Linked DNA regions of Xenopus tropicalis. Each later gene encodes a partner of the first gene's protein in a complex. Links are inferred from orthologs where the notes say so. Each region holds a gene or a part of one and is shown in the gene's direction. Other genes may lie near its edges.

Region 1 (4,012 bases):
AAAGACCAAATAAAATCAAGGGTTGACTTCTAAAATCCAATTTTATTGGGAATCCCCTATTTCAGTGAATTAAGTGACATCATTAAACACCATTTATACAGGTAATAATTTACCCCCCACTGTAAAATATGAGGGTATTAAAAGTCACCAAGGCATTTCAAAAAACATATAAAAGGAATAAGGTCATGGAATTCAAAATAATTTCTAAAAGTACACAACTTTTGGACAGTCATGTGATGCTGATGACTTCACTGAGCACTGATTATAAGTGATGACATCACTGAGCTCCATTTATAAGGCTATATTTACAGAATGTTCAAGGATCCTGAGTATTATAAGGGGGGAGATGTGAAAAACCAATACTTTTGCTGAAATTATTACATAACTGCCAGGCACCATCATGGTCAATGTAATTTCACTGCAGATGCTGGAAGAACAAACATTCTTTATTGAATGTAAGAAGTTTCTCCAATCTTATTCTCACATAACAATAAAGGTGATGAGTTGAACTAAGGGAACAGATTAATGGCAATACCGGGCAGCCCTGTGTGGAACTGGGGTGGCCAGTAGCCAAGCAAAGATACATACGTGTTAGCGCATTAAAAGTGATGTGCAGCTAACACACCCTGTTATCCTAATGCTGCCCATGGAACACACTGGGATATTAAACCAGTTAATTATCTGTAGAGAAGGCAAGTCAGCCCCTCTGCCCAAGTCACTTACCGGGCTCTAAACCCTTTGACGCAATGAGACAGGAAAGCGGCGAATGCTGGGAACTCCTTTAGGTCAGCGCAATAATCCCCCCAGGCTCAAGCACAGTTACTCACAGCAGAACAACTTCACCGGTTCTATTCCAGGGCGAGCTTCCTGTCACCACACAACGCCTGAGTTTTTTACTGATGCCCAAAATATCAGCATCCGAGTCCCAGAGGCGCTGTACAATTCCAGCCCCTGTTCCCCTGATCCTTCTCTCCCATTTTCATCTCCATAACCACCGCTTGACAACAACCTAAGCACAGCGCAAGCGCGAAATGACGAACGCAAAGACTTCTGGGATATGGAGTTCGCCGAGGTTCTAGGTTCTGCAGCAGAATGTGGCGAGTGCGCATGCGTTGTCTTCTTAGCGATAAGAATAACAGGAAATGCTATGAATGTAACTAGTAACAAGTGCGGCAATATGGGCAGTAATTGTACATCTACCGAGAAAAAGATCCGGTGTTATAAAATCAGGACATTGCACAGCCAGCAGAAGTACGGAATTGCCTGCAAGAACCTGGCAGAGCTAAAGCAGAAGGCATGCAGGAAGTTTCAGGTGGCTACTGACTGCCATTCAGTGTTTGTATGTGTAAGGGCACCGGGATATGGGCTCTGCTGCCCACACACCCGCTGTTTCGGTCCTGAGGGGAGAGAATGGGATTGACATTATTTTGGTACCCAAGCGGTTGGTTGCTAAGGGACTTCTGTTGGGTTATTCATTTTGCTCTAGTTTGGGTACTTTAAGGGCAAAACTGTTGTTTTGCACAATAAAAGGAAATGTAATTCTAAGTAACTTTTACCTTTTTATTATACATTTGGTTATACTTGGTTATAATGATTTTTAATGATATTTGTAGATGTGATTGCAACCGAAAGCAGGATTTGTTATTGTTATGCCTTCATTTTCTCTGGTTCTAAATATTAAAGCAATGTAGCCCAAACCAATTTCCTCTGTGTCTGTTGATTAGCAGGAGTCAGAAGCAGCAGTGCAGAGCATATAAACTGCCAGACAGATGCTGAAGCAGTTAGATTTATTAAAACCTTTATTGGAACATTGTAAGTAATGTACCGTATATACTCGAGTATAAGCCGATCCGAATATAAGCCGAGGTACCTAATTTTACCTAAGAGAACTGGAAAAACTTATTGACTCGAGTATAAGCCTAGGGTGGGAAATGCAGCCGCTACTGCTAAGTTTCAGTAATCAAAATAAATACCAATAAAATGACATTAATTGAGGCATCAGTGGGGTATATGTTTTTTAATATTTATTTCAAAGAAAAACAGTAAACTAGCTCTGTAAGCGGAGAAGAGGGTCAACAAAAACAATATGAGTTCTACCCCACGCTCATTGCACATTGGCAAACTGGCAGCAGACCCAGTCCCGGAGAACACGTAAGGGCAAATAAGTATTGCTAGTGGGAGTGGGCCAGGGCACTTGAGGGTCTGGTTGCAGGTGGCCTAATTTGCACACAAAGGACAGAGGGTGCTAGTCTGGAGGGACCCATGGCACCTGACTCAAGTATAAGCCGAGGGTGACTTTTTCAGCACATTTTGGGTGCTGAAAAACTAGGCTTATACTCGAGTATATACAGTATATGGCAAAGAGTGGGCTTTTTATTGACAGTGGCTGGTAATGCCCTTTAAAATGGCAGAACATAAACAATGGATGGTAGTGGCTATTAGTTAACAGGTGCAGTTGGGCAGCTTTGTACACGGCTCTGTTCTGTGCTGGGTGGCAAAGGGCAAAAACTAATGACCAACTCTAATGACTGCTCCTAGGCATGGTAAGGCAGTATCCCTTAAATAACCACTTGAACCTGTTGTTGTCCTTCAACAAATATTTGTACAGGGCATCCTAAGCAATCAGTACCCATGTGTGCTTATGTCACTTAACTAGTCTGTGTTGTCCAAATATCATTTGCAGTTGATCCTAATTTTTTTCTTTAATTGTGGCTTTTTTGGTTAAGGACAGACTTGAATAAAAAGTAATACAACAATAATAATATGGGCTCACAGTAAGTTAGCAGTGGTTGCTAGGGTCCCTTATGCTTGGATACATCCTTAATTGTTATGCTAAATAGTTGTCTTATTTTCCAGCTGGATTGTCCCACGACCTGTGTGTGCTTGTATGAGGATGGAACAGAAGTGAGTGAAGAGTACTTGGAGACGGTGCCAGATAATACAGTGCTTTTGTTGCTGACTCCGGGGCAGACATGGCAGGGTTGTAAGTCAGGCTTTACTCTATGTTAGGGCATGAGCAGAAAATGATAAGTTCTGCATATTCTTTTTAATTTACTTGGGATCAGCTTTCAATTAGGCCATTCTCATGTATGACCAAATGCTGCTACTAGGAAAGGGTGACCAACTACCATTTACCTATACTGCAAAGGAACAGACTAATAAGAAATGGGTTAAGCCATCCCCATGTTCAATTTCATTAACATAACTAGGCAAATGGACAATTTAAAACTTTAGGGTTCTCTGTATATTGTGTTGCATTATATTTTCTTCTAGAATTCCAACAGTACCACTTTTCAGTTGGGCAGTAGGATATAATTATGAGTATTTTTTCCTAGCATAGTTATGTGACAGGAGACTGCAATGGAAGAACACATGTATATTTATTATAGAAAGAAACGTCTAATGGAATTGGACCAATGGCTCAATCACAGTGGGATCTGCTGAGGGTTTCATGAAATTGTTTCAGTTTATATTGTTTGCTAAGCTACATTTTGTATTGCCACACATTGATTTGGCATCTTCTCACTGTGTTCTTCTTTCTTTGTTATTTGTTTCTTATCTAAAGATGTTTCGGACATTGAGCGCTTCCTAAATGCATTTTATGCAAGGCAGACGTGTATTGTGGAGGCAGCACATAAATTGTTGGCAGATGAGGATGCTCCCAAAAGACAAAAGCTACTTGTAGATTTCATTAGTAACCTGAATGAAAATATCTTGGCAGAGAATCGTAAAGATGATGAATCGTGGTTTGAAGGTAAAATCCTGACTTTTCTGATGCAGCCTACTTAGATACAGTTAGTTATCCCTGTCAGGAGTCACAGAATATGTAGCACTGCATGAAGAAAGCACTGCCAATCCTTTGAGGGGACACCAGGTCAGTGCTGAAATTCAGGACCACATTTGATATAATACAGCTGCTCTATAATGGAAATTCAATGCCAAAATTGTGAAAATCAGCCCATGTGTTGCTAACTCTCTGCAGTCTTAGAGAACCCCACCCAAAAGTGATAAT
Region 2 (4,287 bases), about 33 Mb from region 1:
TTTTCTGCTTTTAGGAGCCTAGAAGATTTCTTTGTTTACCTGGGAACACTACTGCTTTTGTCAGGACAACTTTAGCTTTCTTAAATTTAAATTTTTTTGTAATTCCAAAAAAAAAGCTATACATTTACCTAAAAACTGAAAGCATTAAATAGTTTTCAAATATAGAAACATATTTCAGAAATATAATGCATTATATTCTTGAAAATGCAAGATTTGGAAAGCCTCTAGTCTCCCAAGTGCACAAATAACACATAAGTATAATTTTATTGAGATTTCTGACTTGTACGGGTCACAAAACTTCCACTACAGTATTTTCACTGCTCAGATATCAGAATACTTACTAGTTAACAAACTGCAATATGCCACTAATATTATACAAAGAAACCATATATTTTTGGAAAATACATACAATATTGTAACATACCGTACTCAAAATTGTTACATTTGTTTTTTTCATTCCAACTACCATACTGCAAAGCTTTGTCAAAATTAGCAGTGTTTACCAACTTATATATGACTACAAAGCAGCTTGTTTATATAAACAATAGTAGTCTTTATAATGCAACCACACAGCTTCTACCGGTTTAGGGCAACAGTACATTTTATTTTTTATTACTTTAAATTGCTTTATTTTTTTGGCATTGCTGTGTTTTAAGTTCACTTTTAGCATGTTTCAAAATTAGCAATTTTTAGCACCTTTTTAGTTGGTCTCCATTTCTTATTCTGTATAGTTTTCAAATTATTTGCATTTTTCTTTTGACTCTTTCTGTCTTACAGATGGGGGTCACTTACTCCAGAAGCAAAAAAAAAAACTATTGCTCTGTGAGGCTACAGTTTTATTGTTATTGTTACCTTTTATTACTTATCCTATTCAGGCTACTCCTATTCATATTCCAATCTCTCACCCACACCACTGCTTGGTTGCTAGGGTATTTTGGACCCTAGCAACCAGATAGCTCCTGAGATTCCAAACTGGAGAGCTTCTGAACAAACAGTGATATAAGACATATATAAAAAAAAATGAAAACATTGCTAATTGTATCAGATAAGCACCACACTATACTGTTAAAGGTTAATTTAAAGGTGAAAACCAGATTTATAAAGCTATACATACATACAATATCAACTTTTCATCTGCTCAGTAGAAACAAGAAATGGTTTATTTCCTAACAGTAAGCTAGAAAGTAAAATTGGTTTCATTCTGTTTAGTGCATGTATATTTCTTAAGTAAATAAATAAATACAAAAATAGGCAAGCAAAAGTTACACTCAGCACAAAGCTGAACCCATGTTGAAAAGGGGTGTATAGTACCCCTAACTACACAACTTATCAAAGACTTTCTAAGAACAACTTCTTAAAAAACAACAAAAAAGTTCCAGCTATAAACAGGCAGAAAACGATGCTTAATTCAGACTCTGGCACACACCAGAAATGTTAGAGAATCTCCTATTGTAAGACTACATTTCCCTATATGCACCGCGCGGCTAGAATGCGGAAGTTCCTTAGACTGCGAGTTCAAGTGCAGAAAACGTCAAACAAATCCTCCTTAGGGAGATGGCGAGTTTTCAGAAAGCTTGTGTTGTTAGCCTTCCAGGAAGCAAAGACAGACATGGCGTAGCAGCGGCTTCTCTTGAGGAACTTCTGGAGAAAGGTGTGAGCGTGGGTTGTGTTTTTAGTTGGAAACAGAGGTGCGCGTAGTGATGTCAAATGTGTAGTGTGATGTCCACAGTTGCCTGCCTATATATGTATATGACAGCTCAATATTTCACATATTATAGTAGGTATTGATAAAGTGTGGTGATTACATGTTATAAATATAACGATGATGTGGCTAGTTATAAATAGCAGTAGTGTTGGAATTTGACGTTTTCATGCTGAAATACATTGATATGACTGTTTTACAACTAAGTCTGCGTCTTTGTTTTCTTTGTCAAAGATATTTATTTTGACAGCAAGGCATTTTATTAACAAATCTTCTATATATGTCATATGAAAAATACAATTACTTACATAATATCCTGTGCATAATTTGATACTGGTTATCCAAAAATGTCTGAAGCAGGACACTGGCTTTTCCCAAAAAGTCCTATTTATACAAGCAATACTTCATTTTTATGTATTTGCATTTTCTCTAATAATTAAACAGGACCTGCACTTAATACCTAAGCTAGCATATGTCTGTTGATAGCAAAACAATACCATAGTTTCTGTAATCTTCAAATTACAGAAAGATTACATATACCAAAAAAAACCCCACAAAAACAGAGCAAGGTGTAGATCCCATACCTGTATTTGGAATACTCAGCGCTGAAGAGTTTGTTGACCCTTTATAAGTATGATCTGATAATAATATATTATTTTAATAAACTAGGTAGGAATCAGTATATTTAATATTCATTATTTAATCAGTTTCTAATGTCACATCATGTTTACTAGTATCACACTTTTCTTCTTTAGCATGTAAGAAGTTTTCTCTTGACTCATCAGTGGAGCCCATCACACTTGTCCTTGCAGAGGATGGCACAATTGTTGAAGATGAAGACTACTTTCTCTGCTTACCTCCTAACACAAAGTTTGTGATCTTGACTGGCAACAAGAAGTGGGCTCCCACAACATTAGGTAAAGTTACATTCTTTATATTTTAAACACTGGACTGCCCTAAAAGGGACACTGTTGTCATAGTAAAATATTTTTGGAAAATATTAAATTAATGTTTAAAATTATCGCAGCTATTTCTTGTGTATCGTAAGTATCTTCTCATTCATGTAGCATTCAGCTTTGATCCAGTCTTGCAATTCTAGCTCATTCTCACCGCAGTCTGAAATTGTCTTTGTTTTCTTATATCACAATCCTGCAGCCTTATATTTTATAAAATATGTGGGGGAAGCCGAAAAATTGCATGTACAGTGGATCACTTTGTTCTCCTAGTAATGTGGGAGTAAAAGTAGGACAGTAGATTTATATTGTGTAGTTTGCTACAACCAAAAGAGTGGAGACCATTAGGGTTAGTACCTAGGGGCAGTAAGCATGCTACTAGAATCACATGGGGTGCCAAGTTATTAGGCACCCCAGTGATCCTTCCTTACACTGTGCCCACTGTGGGCAGTTGGAAATGGGTTCTTATGAACTGCAGGGCTTAATGTATTAAAAAAAAAATATTTATTAAAATTATTTTTAATGATTACGATGTTTTGTGCACCTGGTTTACATAACCCAACTAAATAAGTTGGTTACAAAATGGATGGTATATTTTTTCTTTAAGAAAATGTAAAAAAAAAAAGCTGAACCAGGACAGAAAAATATCAGACAAGAAACATGAGTGCTTTATACGAAGTAAAGAGACATCTCTTTCCTGTATAAATTTTAACAGAGCATTTCTATTCAAGAAGGGGTCACTGTTGCTGTTTTCAGTATTTCCACAAGAAGTTTCCAAAGACCAATGTTAAAGATTTTGCAGCTGTTTAACTGTGCAACATTCCTGTTCCAGATGGAGGAACTGCATGGTTAGCAAGGGATTCCATGGAGGTAGAAGATGAGAATATGGTTGATGGTGCAGATTTAACAAGATGGAAAAACTTGGCTTTGCAGCTTAAAGAAGATCTGTCTAACATCATTCTTATGTCAGAATCTGAACTTCAGGTATTTAAGCATAGTGTTAGCATCTATGAAACAGTATATTGTAAAATGTTTCTTAAATATAAGATGATTGTTACATTATAATCTAACAATTTACATTATAATCTAATAATGTTACAATTAATGTCAGGGGTATTTCTTATTCACTTCACAAATATTACAGGCAAATACCTTATTTTGGTTATTATTAAACTTACTGTCCAACCATTTCTGTGGACTTGCCACTTGGGGGAAATTTTCTATAGACTATCCTCCCATTTGCATTAAAGTATTAAGTATTATTACCAAACAAAATTACTTGTTGAGCTCTGGTGGGGTTATTATATTTCAGTGATATTTTGACACTGTCTCAATCATGGGGGGGGGGGGGGGGGCAAATGTTAGGCACCCCTCATAATTGTAATAGCTTACTTGATACCCTGGGCCGGTGCTCTTGCTAGCAGAAAACTGCACTGGACATGGGTGTTTCTGCAGAAGTTATTTGGCACAATCTTTCTTCTTCTCACTTCCTTTTGTAGGGTGCAGGCATTGCGCACTAGGCTGAAAAAGCTGACTTTTCATTTCTAAGTTGAGCCTTCACTCTACTGTGCATGCAGAGTTAGGTCCTACACTAACTTTTATTAAGAATTATTAATTATTAAGAATTCTATG

What was found. Proteins that work in one complex are often made in the same cells at the same time.
Region 2: the proteins of dffb (region 1) and dffa are in contact, whole or in part, in an NMR structure (PDB 1F2R), measured with the Mus musculus proteins. The link is inferred for Xenopus tropicalis from reciprocal best matches to the Homo sapiens genes DFFB and DFFA. Residues at the interface, in NP_031885.3 of Mus musculus: Cys10, Lys12, Arg14, Ala19, Cys20, Lys21, Phe22, Gly23, Val24, Ala25, Ala26, Arg39; in NP_001020467.1 of Mus musculus: Asp66, Thr68, Ile69, Val70, Asp71, Asp72, Asp74, Tyr75, Trp94, Tyr96, Asp100.

What each region holds. Positions count from the first base shown.
Region 1 is NC_030683.2:96,870,724-96,874,735, forward strand, and holds the start of dffb (DNA fragmentation factor subunit beta), read left to right. Parts: upstream 1-1,173; 5' UTR 1,174-1,177; coding exon 1,178-1,312; intron 1,313-2,856; coding exon 2,857-2,983; intron 2,984-3,565; coding exon 3,566-3,754; intron 3,755-4,012. UniProt on the Homo sapiens protein: Nuclease that induces DNA fragmentation and chromatin condensation during apoptosis. Degrades naked DNA and induces apoptotic morphology.
Region 2 is NC_030683.2:64,041,868-64,046,154, reverse strand, and holds the start of dffa (DNA fragmentation factor subunit alpha), read left to right. Parts: upstream 1-1,487; 5' UTR 1,488-1,554; coding exon 1,555-1,651; intron 1,652-2,457; coding exon 2,458-2,619; intron 2,620-3,487; coding exon 3,488-3,639; intron 3,640-4,287. UniProt on the Homo sapiens protein: Inhibitor of the caspase-activated DNase (DFF40).